Neodiprion lecontei: one gene and its partner. The protein of the gene in region 2 interacts with the protein of the main gene of each other region in a pairwise test. Links are inferred from orthologs where the notes say so. Each region holds a gene or a part of one and is shown on either strand. Other genes may lie near its edges.

Region 1 (7,565 bases), on a different chromosome or scaffold from region 2:
GTGTTGTATAATCCTGGATGATGAAGATCATTCCGGAAATTTCATACAAGACACATACAGATTCGGGACGAATTATGGCCCACCCTAACGCTCATAGTGACGCTCATCAACAACTGGCCATGCGTGATCGAGGCATTTTCCCCATAATAGAGGTTCGAGCTTCCCCGAGGAACTGCACTACCCAATCAAAGTCTGCTTCCTGAAAACGCTGCCGTTTTTCTCCTGGATACAGAAATATAACACGTGATCCGAAGCATTCGTCATATTCTTCTCTGCTACTTCCGAAAATCGTCTTTATTGTCGACGAGTAAAACTATTCAGTTATAGTTCGATTGTTGAACAGTTATTGGTAATGTGGGTTTTGTCGTCAATTTTCTTTGACATATGTGGTATATATCCTTAAAATTTACAGCCAGATCTGACTTTAACTGAAATTCGTGAGTCTGTGGAGATAAAACTTGAAGAAATATTTGGCCGCGGAACAAATCACACGGTCGACGTTCAAAATCACTGTACGATAAACACTGAGATTTATTGTTTTGCAAGAAAGTCTATGTATATAGGTATAGCGTGCATGAAGGTGGTTTGCTGTACTAGAGGTGAATGCCCGTAATAAATACGGGCAACGATCATATCGTACACGCGCATATAATATGAGAAGGCAGAGATTTGTTGGCAACTCGTCACGCGGGGATTCGTTGACCTTTACTTAATTATGAGATTATCGCGTTTTTCAAACGGTTTATACGAACAGGTATGAGCGCGGTATTGCTTATTACGAAAGTTTATAGGTACGTGTAAGTACGCTTTAAAATGCCTGTGAACTTTTGAGCTCTTTACAGATCTCTGGAAGCTCGACGTATCCGCGAGACTGTAATAATATTGACCCATAACGGTGTAACTTGTTCGACAGTAATTATTCTCGTCATCGTTTAACCACGACGTGTCACGAATCCCATGGACGGTTAAATACATATTGCAATATATTATAATTGCGCTGTAACGTCACCCCATTGCACAGCGGGCTGCAGGGTAAACGTGCGTCGTTAAATTAAGAGATAAATATAATGCAGAGCGGGGGAGCGCTGTAAGACGCTTAATGTCGGGCCACTGCGCGTTTCTAAATTTCCTCGCTTTGCTCGACTCGACGATCGACTCGTGCGCGGAGGCCTTTAGCTAGATTAACGCGGAAGTCGCCGTCACCACAAATCATTATTAGCATATTATCAGAGACACTTATCAGAGAACGCTGCGAGCCGACCCCACCCCCACCCCTCAAATAAGAGTCAATATAAATCACTGATTGTCTCCTCCTGGAGCAATAACTCATTCGTTAACAGGCATATAATTACGCCGGGTGGGCCGAGGTTACTCGAACGACGGGCGATGATATAGAACACTCGATCAAATCTTGAGCAACGTTAAATCCGGAGCATATTAATGCGCACGCATATTATACCCACGTTGGGGTCTCTTCGTGGCTTTCAGCCTGCGGAGAAACAAACGGCCCGAATAAAAAGGGAGAAACGAAAACCTGAATTACGCGTGTACAAATCATGCGCGCGGATCGCGTACATGGCGAATTAATGTCTCCTATTTCCTGTTTACCGTCAAATATTTGAATCTATCGCTGCCCACCGGCGGGATGACGTTAAAAGCGGCGCGAATTCGAGCATTAACCGGGTGACGACGTATCGAGGGGAAATCTCTCTCAATCACGCTCGTGAAAATTAATCGGTATGGGCGCAGCTGATAAGAATTGATAGCGCTCTTCTGCCGAACTGCCAATACATTTTACTTTGCACTATAACAGTCGATGTCTGTTATTTCGAACGCAATCTGTAGCCGGCCATGCATAGCTGGACTCGAGGCACCCGCTCGTAAACTTGACCGTTGATACACGCGCGTACCCGGGCATGAAGCCTGAGTGGCTTGACTAAATGGGCCTAACACCTTGAAAAATTGAAGTGCTGAAAAGCGGACTGTCCGTTTTGCTCCGATTTACGTCTCGCTTAACTCACGACTTCGTTTTGTCGCGATCGTGCGGTAATAACACAAATTTCGTTTCGAAACGCTCCCCTAACGAGCGACACACGCTACACGCCAAGCGCGCGTGCTATATCGGTTGCATTCGTGTAGGCGCTTGTGGCACCTCCGATCGAGAATAACATGCGCCGATTTTAGAATCTTCGCAGCGTTTCGATAGTTACTTTCAAGAGCAAATAGAATCGCTGTAATTGAGAACGAAGAGATAATCTATCAGAATTGCTAAAATGGTATAATTACGAGCGATAAACGTAGCTGAAATTTCTGGAGTTACTATACTACGGTCATGTTACGCAGCTATAATACAACTATAATAAATCAACTTAGTTTCAAGCTAGACATTAGTCTGGCGTGTAAAACCGCGGCATAGCTACTTAAATAATGGTAATTGCAGGAACGCGAGAGTATAAATTCCACGGTTGATTCTTCGGTCAACTTGCTCAGGCTTATCTCGTTTCCACGTGGAGATTAAAAAGGAACAACTCCTTGTACAAAGTTAGCTAGATTTCAAACTGCGCAGTTCAAGCAATTCTCTGTGCTGTCGCGTTTCGTTCAGGTAAAATAGCGGTTCCCTATTATCCCTGCAAGGGTCGATTCTGACCATAAAAAGCTGGGAGCGGTTCGAGCGGCCTTCGTTTAGAAGCAAAATAGAAAAATCATACAATTTCATCTGAACGAGACTAGTTGGAGAAAAAAGTTATTCGCAGAATTTTAAATATCTCATCCATCGATAATAAACGAACAATCATTTATCTGAAATATATCTACAAACGCTGGCTTTTTGTTGCCATAATCATGTATGTTTGCTTAAGCTCGAACCCTATGGAGCACGCCACGTGATTATAGAAGATGTAGGCATCAGGGCGACTGTTTGTTGAAAGATGAAATATTTACGATTATTATATGTAAATGGAGAGATAAATCCAGTAGAATTTAACACAGAATAACTTTATTAACCAGTTAGGTATAACTGTTACTATACCTATACATTATGTAGATTCATACATGTTAAATCCTTATAAAAGTATGATTTACGCCTGTGGACGATGCACGAGGGAAGTTTCCCGGTCAATTATCATCTGCGAATTTCGTCACAAACTAAGAACATAAGCTAACATGAAATAAAGGAATAGTTCTGACGCGTATACCGCGCTTTTCTAATTCTCCGAATACCGTAGACTAGAGTCTGTAGTACGTATAGGAGTCACGCAATGCCGCCGATTAGTGTTCGGCTTAGTCAGCTGGGAATTCTCCGATTTCCAAACGATGTCCTCAGACCCGAATGATGAAAAAATCCGACAAAGAGTGAATGATGAAAAAGGCGTATGCAGAGAGCGTCGAGAGGCTCGTACGGCATCGAATTTATTGCCTATTTCGAGCACATGGAACAATTAGTCAAGTGGCAACACTCGGCACTTGATCGCTCGGTCCACTATCGGCGTAGTAACACAAAAAGGTTTCCTCCTAACCCAAAGATTCTACGGATCGTGACAGTTTGTTTTATTTTTTTCAATTCGAATTCTACCCAATCGTCCCATGATCCGAATCAGCGCCGTTGACCGGTTCCCCGAAGCTTCTGCGGGAGGCTGAAACTTCACGCATGCTTTGTACCGCCGACACGGCACAGTATATCGACTCGAGTCATATTATAGTGTGTCATACTCTAATCACCGCGTCTAAACATCGGGACTACTTTCTGCGCGGCGCAGGTCCTCGTCTCGTCGTAAAGGGCGCGCTGCGGCCGCTGGATCCGCCATGTTTAGTTGGCGGAGCGAGGAGGCAGTGCTTGGAAGGGGGAACTGGAAGCTGGCTGGTGTAAAGTGAGTCACTCGCGTAGTTTGACGGACGATATTCGCACGAATAACAATAATTATCGACCCTCTGGTAAACGGTAAGTGAAACAATGTTATCCTGCGTTATTCGCGCCCCCGGTCTCGCCCTCTGAGGCCTGATTATCCCCGATTTTCGTGTTTACGCCTGGGTGTGTCAAAAGTGCTTCCATTGCCCCCTTCCGATTGTCAGAAAATGGTGATGCATTGCATTCTTGAGCCCTTTGTTGTGCCGCAACACCCACGCGTACCCACGCTTCGGTTTCTTGGCCCACTCCGGGTATCACACTCGTTTAATACGCTTTATCGGTCCTTTTTCACCCTCTAAAGCAGTTCGTATGATCCCCGGCGTTTCGTCGATAAATTAAGTATGGAAAATAAAAAAAAAGAGAAATAGAAGGGAGAGTAAAAAAAAAAAAAACTACCTACCTATCGCTTTACTCGAACGGATATGTGCACCTGCGTGCATCTTGTACTATTCGCTTTGCTATTAGCGTGAATAGGTTTTTTGAGGATTGTGGTAGACATGTATTTTATTTTATTTATTATTTTTTTTTTATCATACATTTGTACATTTTTCTGCTTCGATCAGATATATGTTTTATATCTGTATGATTAAATACACTGGTGTTAATCTAAATATTACAAGTGCGTATTACGAGATACTTGTTATCTCACAATCGTTAGCTAGCTGGTAATATGAATCATAGGAGCGATGAGTCTGTTGTCAAATTTGCATAAGAATGAAAGTTACATAGCAGCTAGACATATGTACGTATATCTATATGCAGTTTGGTGTCTCTGAACAAAAAAAAGACGTGCTTTCATTAGTTGTAATTTGTGACATTTTAGACTGTTGCGTAATACACATTCAATACTAAACTTACTCCGATCGATCTGATACAAAATTACATAATAATCCCCATTTTATGCAGGTGTGGAGTGTTTCGCCCGTTGGAGCCATGAGTTATCAAATGACGTCGAATCAATCTAGACCCAGTAAGTACCATCTGATTTGAATTACAGGTCTGACCTTAGGGCCTTTCGATTTGAAGTTGAATCAATTTTCTGTTATATTCGTAACTTCCAGTGTCGCACGGCAGCTATCAAGGCCCGGCAGACCTACCGATGGGCTCTGCCAAAGAGCAGACTCTCATGTGGCAACAAAACTCCTACATGGGCGACTCGGGAATCCACTCAGGGGCTGCGACTCAGGCGCAGTCTCTGTCAGGAAAGGAAGATGACGATATAGAGGGAGACCAACTCATGTTCGACTTGGATCAGGGCTTCGCTCAAGGATTCACACAGGACCAAGTCGACGGTGAGGAAAATATTATTGAAATATTTATTACATATGGAAGAAAAAAACCCAAAATATTACGGAGTATTATTTCCTGCTTGAAATTACTACAAACTTCAGCCTCAGTTTAAAATAATTCTGTCAAGTTGTAAACAGCGAGGAGTACGTGTTAACGAATCTTGTAAAATTCAATTAAAATATTCAACAATCATTTTTATTTCAACAGAAATGAATCAACAACTGAGCCACACGAGATCACAGCGTGTACGCGCAGCAATGTTCCCTGAAACATTAGAGGAGGGTATTGAGATACCATCTACACAGTATGATCCAGCGCAACCAACCGCAGTTCAAAGACTGGCAGAGCCAAGCCAAATGTTGAAGCACGCAGTGGTCAACTTGATCAACTATCAGGATGATGCAGATCTGGCAACTCGTGCGATTCCAGAGTTGATCAAGCTCCTCAACGACGAGGATCAGGTTATAGTTTCGCAAGCTGCTATGATGGTGCATCAGTTGTCTAAAAAGGAAGCCTCACGACACGCTATTATGAACAGTCCCCAAATGGTGGCTGCTCTTGTACGAGCAATCTCAAACAGCAATGATCTTGAATCAACGAAAGCTGCGGTCGGAACTCTGCACAATTTGTCTCACCACAGACAAGGGCTTCTGGCTATTTTCAAAAGTGGCGGTATCCCTGCTCTTGTTAAGCTGTTGAGTTCACCAGTAGAGTCTGTATTATTCTACGCCATAACCACGCTTCACAATCTGCTGCTTCACCAAGACGGTTCTAAAATGGCCGTACGTCTTGCCGGTGGACTGCAGAAGATGGTTGCTCTTCTTCAGCGTAACAACGTGAAATTTTTGGCTATTGTAACTGACTGTCTCCAAATTCTCGCTTACGGCAATCAAGAAAGCAAGCTGATCATCCTCGCTTCTCAGGGACCAATCGAACTTGTACGAATTATGCGCTCTTATGAGTATGAGAAGCTCTTGTGGACAACCTCCAGAGTCTTGAAGGGTAAAATACAATCTAACAATATCTAGGGACTTATAGACAATATTCACTGAAATTATCCCTGCCACCTCTTACGCAACAATCATATTTCAATATGTATTCTCTTCTCTTCCTCAGTGCTGTCGGTGTGCTCCAGCAACAAACCAGCAATTGTCGAAGCTGGCGGTATGCAAGCCTTGGCAATGCATCTTGGAAACTCGAGTCCAAGACTGGTTCAGAATTGCTTGTGGACACTGCGAAATCTCTCTGACGCAGGAACAAAAGTTGACGGATTGGAGGGTCTGCTGCAAGGATTAGTGCAGGTGCTGACTTCAAGCGACGTAAACGTTGTCACATGTGCAGCCGGTATTTTGTCAAATTTGACATGCAACAATCAACGCAACAAGGTGCGTCAAATTTCTTACAGAGTAAGGAAATAAATGAGGTGAAGAAGCAAAATATTCACAAAAGTATCTTAAAAACTTATTTCAGGTCACAGTGTGTCAAGTTGGGGGAGTCGACGCACTTGTGCGCACTATTGTCAGCGCTGGTGATCGCGAGGAGATAACAGAGCCAGCAGTCTGTGCTCTCCGTCATCTAACTTCGCGTCACGTCGACGCCGAAATGGCCCAAAATTCGGTCCGCTTGAACTACGGCATTCAGGTCATAGTCAAGCTTCTGCATCCGCCTTCGCGCTGGCCGTTGGTCAAGGCTGTTATTGGCCTTATTCGTAATCTGGCTCTGTGCCCAGCGAATCATGCTCCGTTACGCGAACATGGCGCTATTCATCATCTGGTTAGGCTCCTCATGCGCGCTTTCCAGGATACTCAGCGAGTATGTTCCTTTATAATTATGTCTCGATTGTTCAATCTAACGTATTAGACACAGAAATAAAAGAACGCTTAATACAGTGTCACGTCACATGCCGAATGTTGATCTTGACTTATCGAGCTTATTATCACCGTTATCTTGCAGCAGAGATCCTCAGTGGCTAGTACAGGAAGCCAACAGGCAGCTGGAGCATACGCAGATGGGGTGCGCATGGAAGAAATTGTGGAAGGCACAGTTGGAGCTTTGCACATTCTAGCCAGAGAATCGCATAACAGAGCGATCATTCGAACTCAAACTGTTATACCGATATTCGTCCAGGTCCGTACTCTAATGATCAACTTATAATCTGCAGATTACTTTGTAGTGATGTATATCACAACCCTGCTTTATCACAGATTAGTATTAGTCTTTTGTTTATCCGATGTCCTTTTACCTTTATGGAACATTAGTTGCTGTTCAACGAGATTGAGAATATTCAACGCGTCGCGGCAGGAGTACTTTGCGAATTGGCGACGGATAAGGAAGGGGCTGAAATGATTGAGCAAGAAGGAGCTACCGCTCC
Region 2 (7,268 bases):
ATATTCAGTGTAAAATCAATGGTTTAGCCACTAGAGATGTTCAAAGATGAATGTTTACGTAAATTTAACTTTCAAATATTCGAAGCTTATAACTTTCGAGACATTTCGGGATCCCGATCTCTCTCACTGGACACTTCTATAAAGAATTTTATTCCCTGCAGAATACTTCCAGGAGCAGATACGTATCACTAAATGTGGCTAACATTGATTGAAAACAATTGTCTAAAAAATAAATTCTATTCAATGTGATAATAATGGGAAAACTTCGAGGTCCGCGAGTGACCTTTCCAAATTGGATTCAAGTGACATCCTTCGCCAGAATTTCTTTTGCTATGAACAACATGTTCTTCAGATGGGAACGAACATAATATTGCTTTCAAAACATATCATTATGCATATAATGGTAATAATAATGATGATTATAATAACAATAGCAACAACAACAACACAACAACAACGACGACGACGTCGACGACGACGATGATGATGATAATGAAAACAACGATAACAACAACGGGACAAAACAAGAATAAGAACGGCGACAGTATTGATAGAATTAACAGTGATGGTGGTGTTGTGGATAGAAATGATTTTATTGCTAGTGTAACTAACGATAATGTAATAAAAGAAAAGCATCAGAATTAGTTGCTCACGTCGATATCAATAAAAACAGATGGAGCGAGAACAAGAACGCCAAGAATATAACGATAATGATACCATAAACACCAATTGCAGTGACATTGATACAAAATCGAGTACGACACACGAATCAATCAATTCCTCTCTGAATTTATCTTTTCACTCCTTCTACCCGTCTGTTCGCTCGTTAGTCTCTTTGATAGGAAAACCAAATGTTCGACTTCATGCACACAACATACTTATACTGATAATTGGGGCTGCACAATTTTGAAGCGAGAACCTTTGATGAAACGAGGGCTTGTCGTGGTTCAAATGATATAATTAATTGCTGAGTCGCTTAGATCACTGGGTGGGTGTACATAAAATGCAAACAAAGACATCGCACAATATTAGATCAACAATTCGCGGCGGTAGCAAGGGATCAATGCCCGAATGCGACTAGTTAAAGTGTCGTCGCTCTCCGACTGACCGGCGGCAGAGCCATGGCAAGGCTCGTAACAGCTACAACAGGGTAGGTCCGCGCCCTTTCCACCAAATCTACGATACTTGCGCCTATGACACGAGCGTCATCTGGCATCGTTTCGATGAACTGCTATTCACCCCTGCGGCCATAGTTGCCGTTAATCAACCACGAACCATACGTCACACACTGGAACAGCCCCTGACACTCACCACTGCTCGTATACTAAAAAATTGTACGCTTTTTGTCCTCGTTTTGTAGTTCCTCTACGTGGCGCTAGTAGACTTCTGAAACGCTCGCTGCCCTCGCTGACCGCACGCAAGCTTGTCAGACAACTACTAGTGCCACTAATGGTGGAGATTGGCGGCAGAATCGAGGGATATATTGCGAACCACTTTTAGCAGCGTGTGTTAGGGGGCTGCTCTGGAATTACTGGTGTTGACCAGCCCCCTGACCCTGGACTAGATTCTCTTATAGCAGGGCGTCCGCGTTAATGCCTCCCGCCACTACGTGCTAGAAGTCGTCTGATCTACTCCTTCCACTCCCCAACCCTCATTAATCTGCTCTCTGCGTAGTTTCCATTCTTCGTATAACTAATAGGGTCGGCATCGTGAGCAGTTGACTACTAACGCCACGTAGTGGCGAGGTACATTAACGGGGACTCGGTATACCCAGCAGTGTTAGGGGGTTGATGTTGACTGAAGATCATGGCTCTTGTATTGACCCGGAGTGTGTTTCGGTAACCTACCATTAGTACAGAGGCGCTGTAATCTAGTAGTAGTAATAAACACCTAACCTATTTCTTTTAGATTTCTTCAATGTGTAGTAGTTCACCAATTTTGTTCGTCAACAAATTCAGTTTGTGAATATGTTGAAATCTGTATAGAATAAAGTAAGTAAAAATTAAATGTAACCTTGGAGTTCAAAATTCATGTTATTTATTAGGGTTCAAAAACGTTCGTAAACGCTATAATAAATCAGAACAGCACTTGTATTTGAAATTAGTTTTATATTTTATAATCAAAACATAGCAAACAAACAAAATTACGGTACATTTTTTATCGGAACCAAATCAATTTTTATGACCACACGACAGCAATCGCTGACGCTACTTGAAGCGTGCTCTAATATTACAAGGGCTTGTTTACGTTGGGGTACTACGAGATTGCAGCGCTCTAACTTTGCGGCCAATTTCCAGAACTTTTGAGCTTCAACAAGAAACCCATCCCCACCTATACACTTAAAGGATAGACAATAGACTGAGCACTATGAGCACTCCTCCCATAATGGGCACTGAAGCCGTTGCTGGGGCCGGATTCCGAACATCAAGCGAGTTCGAATTAGTTCTACGGTTTTCCGCTCTCCATACTATTATTATAGTCGATGGTTAATGAACATCACGGTCGGTACAGAGCTTATCGATGTTAAATATTATTACGAAGTGGCACATGCTGTTGATAGAGGGCGATAGCTAAGAAAGGAGAGAAAAATAGATGTTCAGAACTAAAAACCGTAGAACTCACTAACTCGAACTCGCTTGATGTTCGGAATCCGGCCCCTGAAGCTAACATATACAGCAAAGAGATATGTCGGGAGTACTCCTTTCTCTTTTCTATCGGCCCCATGGCGGGGGACAAGGGAACAGTTAAAAGTAGAAGAGTCATAGATATAGGCCAGTGGCGAAGCTGCGGTATAAACATTTTTTATCCTGCAGACTAAATTTACATGGTAAGATCCATTAGCAGGTTGTTGACTGTAGAGCACTGCCGTCACCGCCGTGCCCTCTTCCTTGCTTTAAAATGATAACCGTTGCTAACCTGTCTAGCAATCTTCCAGTCAACGCCCTACATTTTCTTGGGACTTCAGCGCCACCTATAGGAACTACCGGTTACTTAACGAGTATTTTCGGACAACAGGTTCGTTGTCCGTGCTTCTCTCTTCAAATGAGTTTGCTTTTCATGTTTTTACCTCAAATCCCGATATCTCTGGAACAAGTGCTGTTTATATGCGATGAGTACTAAACCGTGTCTACTCTAGCTCGGTTCTAAGATTTCGGTGTGATTCATTTTGGAAATATTTGTTCCTTCGTTGTTCAGCAAACCAGTAGGGATATTATTGCATTGTGGAAGGGGAGACCGATAGGGAGTAGCCATACTGTAGAAATCAACAAATCTCTTTTATTGGGCAAGTGGGACACAAGAACCACCACAACAGCAGCAGCAGCAGCAGCAGCAGCAACAACAGCAGGAACAACACAACAACAACAACAACAACACAAATGAGATTGTCGATCACATATTTGGAAACAAGCATACAAGCATTTGTTCTGAATAATCAATTTCGCGGAGGTAGATTTAAGCTTAGTAAATTTGGCTTGATTTATTTGACACTTGTATGTTATTTGTCAGAATCTCAATAGTCGTTCGCCTCGCAATTTCCTCACTACCATCTCCACGTCTGTGTAAATTTCACGAACGATAGCTTGAAATAAGTCCATTCAATTTGTGCGGAAAAATTTTCAATTATTTCGTCTTAGTTTTCATTTGACAAATAATTATCAATGCCTGCAGAGTTTTGTACTTACAATCGAAATGTTAGTCTTGCTTTAATTTGTTTCCACAATTGTACATACGAATTCAACCGAGCTGTGAAAGACTTCAATCCGGGTCTGCAAGCATTTTCTTTTTATTGTGCAAAAATGCATTTGAAATAGATATATCGTAACGGAAATCCTATGACAATGAAAGAAATACGGCGATGCTGATTTTTATGAGCAAGGATCTGGCTGATTCATCAAGAACAACGAATATGGCCAAGAGATGTCAGGGAGCTACCAGTTTTGGCTGATAACACTCAGTACCTAAAAAACATCAGAAAGGCATAATTGCTACTCGCTATCATATGCTAGGTAGAAAACACGAGATGGCTGCCCAAAGCAACACAGCTCTTTCCAACGATGGTTTTGACTGCGGTAAAAATAATCCAACTATTATTTACTGACTTACTAACTCCTTTATAGACTTTGGTAGTCCATGTTGACAAATCAGTATCATTCACAAAAATTGCAATTTTAATTTATTCGTCAAAATTCAAAGTAATACAATGTAAACACTCTGAATCTCACAGAGATGAAACACCGTCTGTACATGGGTATGAACTAGAAATAATACAATTATACATACGTACATACACACGCGTACATACATATAGGCATATGAAAAATACATTCAATAATATTTTTATAGACAAATAGAACAAAGACGAAGAACATGCCAATGAATACCTATTTTAAAAACAATGATAGAGAGAGCATAGTTCATTACCCTTGGTTCTCAATAGCAAAAGTAGTAGTAAATAATAACAATAATAACAATAATCATATCAAATGATTTCGGATAGCCCATATAATCAAGCTATGAAAGCATGCACTCTTCATTTAGCCATTTCATAATCATTCTTTTTGCAGTACATGTCTTAATTTTTAGAGTTTTTAGATTATTAGATGACAAGCTGAAATATTCAGCAACCATATATTTCGGGTTGTTTTTGTAGATTGTTCTCGTAACTTGTCGAACTGGCGCAAGTTGCTTCCTTGCACCTGATTGAAAACTGATGCGAGGTAGATCTCTTCCACATTCTTGTATTTAAAAATAATATTTTTGAAATATAAAAATTACAGGGATTAAGCAAGGTTTGAAGTAGATAATTTTGAGTAACTTTTTTATCATTCTTTGTTGGAGATTAACTAATGGAGCCATAGTGTTTTCATAAGCCCCTCCCCCAAACGATTAAACCATAGTTTGTGATACTGTTAAAAAGTATATGATAAATAGCGTATAAAACAAATGGAGCTGCACGTCTCAGTTTGCTAAAACGCATAAAAAATACCTAGTGTTTTTTCGAATACATTATTCTTATGCGCATCCCATCTAATATTAAAATTGAAAATGATCCGTAAGTGGTTAAATTTTTCAACTCTTTATATTATATCACCTGAAATGCGTATGTTTATCTCATTTGGTGAGTTATTCTTGTAACAGCCACAAAGATGATGCATTCTGTCTTAGAGCTGTTCAACGATACTTTATTTTGGCAAAATCGTTTAATAACATTTCTGTAATTAGTGAGTCTTTTCTGGATTTTCAATTTCAAATTATTATAGTTTGTGTTCTCTACCAATAGGCAGTTGTAGCGACAAAGAAGTTCAAAAAATTGGGAATGCAAATGGTTCGATTCATCTGGTACCTCCAAGTTATCTCTATAATACAGGATCTGGCCAGACTACAAGGGATCTAGACCAAGAGCATAGCAACCAAGATCGTGCATCTGAGGATGAATTAGGACCCCTTCCATCCAATTGGGAGAAAGCCTACACTGACACTGGAGAAGTGTATTTTATCGAGTAAGTAATACTGAAAGTTGTGAGAAATTTTGTAAAAATATATTGCATATGGTTTTCTCAAATAGGATGCTAGTCAACTTATTACCGTATATTATTCAAGTCATAACAGCGGCACGTCGCACTGGCTTGATCCAAGGTTGTCCAAATTTCAAAAACGTTCCCTAGAAGAATGTTTAGATGACGAGCTACCTTATGGGTGGGAAAAAATAGATGATACTTTGTACGGAACCTACTTTATCGACCATGTGAATCGGCGAACCCAATACGAGAACCCAGTACTCCAAGCCAAACGGGCTCAGCAGGGCGTGACAGACTGTAAAAGTTCAGTATTCACTAGAAACCCTGATAAATTAAAGGGGCTAAGAATACGTAGTACGCTGCTGAAAGGTACCAGAGGACTGGGTTTCACTATTGTCGGTGGAGATGACACTATTGAAGAATTCCTTCAGATAAAAAGTGTCGTGCCAAACGGACCAGCCTGGATAGATGGAAAGCTGCAGACTGGTAAGAGGGTCCAGAATTTATCCTATCACGAATCTTTTATTATTATTATTATTATTATTATTATTATTTTATTATTTTTGACTGCGATACTACACAGCTACGATATATTCATCCACATCTGACAACAGCCTATTGGCATCTTCTTTTTTAAGGCGATGTTCTTGTTTATGTTAATGAAACCTGTGTTCTTGGATATACTCACAACGAAATGGTAAACGTGTTCAAATCTATTTCGAGTGGGGAGACTGTCACTATCGAGGTATGCCGTGGCTACCCACTGCCCTTTGATCCAAACGATCCCAATACTGAAGTGGTGACCACAATAGCAGTCAATGCTCCAGGTGAGTTGGTGTACATAATAAATAAAACAATTTTTCCGTGATGTCAGCCCGTGTCAATTGTAGACACGTTCAGTTCAGCAATATAAGTGATTCATACATGATTTATAAATTATACAAATATTGCATTTGCCCATGAGTACAAGCATTGGCCAAAGACAGTTAAGGACAGTCAGCCCAAAGCGAATACTTGTGATGCACCAAGGTGCCTGGATGGGCCTGGGAATAATTGCACTTACCGTTGGTTAAAATCTTTTGTAATGTAAGTGAGTAATTGCAGTTACCTGAAATTTGGACCATGCCCTTTACTCACTTTTGTCTAGCACCATAAGGTCCGTAAAGCTGCCTGTCTTTAAAGTTCTATCAATGATACAATTGTTTCTACATATACAACCTATTATCAGCTGCCTACCATTTATCCCCAGATGTACCGATTGAGGATCCAACACTTTACATGGACATTAATCCTAGTATGCATTCTAATGATCGTTTCAACTATGTCGACGGAAACCTGTTACCAGTACATAAGATATCGAACAGTGAAAATCTGGCAACCACGTCCGTCAATTCTATGCCTGATCTCTGTATTTCTGATAAAGTTACAACCATAAAGCGGCCAAATAGTACAGACATACTACTGGGAGAAAGTGTGAATGAGGACAATGGCGATGAATATATGGTGGGACGAGATGTACAGCAGGAAAATAATGAGGGGGATGAAGAAGTCGGAGAAGACGAATCTAGACCTTACAAGGAACGACAACAGCCTCCGGTAACACCTGCCAAGCCCGAGTTTCTTAGCATATTGATTGTAAAAGGTACAATGGGGTTCGGTTTCACGATAGCAGACTCGGCACATGGACAGAAAGTGAAAAAGATCTTGGACCGGCAGCGCTGTAAAAATTTGATGGAAGGTGATATATTG

The links.
Region 1: the proteins of membrane-associated guanylate kinase, WW and PDZ domain-containing protein 2 (region 2) and armadillo segment polarity protein interact in a two-hybrid assay, tested with the Caenorhabditis elegans proteins (2 studies listed by BioGRID, with this or other methods). The link is inferred for Neodiprion lecontei from reciprocal best matches to the Caenorhabditis elegans genes magi-1 and hmp-2.

What each region holds. Positions count from the first base shown.
Region 1 is NC_060261.1:41,589,291-41,596,855, forward strand, and holds the start of armadillo segment polarity protein, read left to right. Parts: upstream 1-3,803; 5' UTR 3,804-3,937; intron 3,938-4,810; 5' UTR 4,811-4,837; coding exon 4,838-4,874; intron 4,875-4,965; coding exon 4,966-5,196; intron 5,197-5,401; coding exon 5,402-6,196; intron 6,197-6,310; coding exon 6,311-6,579; intron 6,580-6,664; coding exon 6,665-7,006; intron 7,007-7,147; coding exon 7,148-7,321; intron 7,322-7,452; coding exon 7,453-7,565. UniProt on the Caenorhabditis elegans protein: Required for cell migration during body enclosure and cell shape changes during body elongation. Plays a role in recruitment of the cadherin protein hmr-1 to adherens junctions.
Region 2 is NC_060264.1:36,469,380-36,476,647, reverse strand, and holds the start of membrane-associated guanylate kinase, WW and PDZ domain-containing protein 2, read left to right. Parts: upstream 1-3,030; 5' UTR 3,031-4,000; coding exon 4,001-4,070; intron 4,071-5,281; coding exon 5,282-5,501; intron 5,502-5,601; coding exon 5,602-6,005; intron 6,006-6,157; coding exon 6,158-6,346; intron 6,347-6,768; coding exon 6,769-7,268.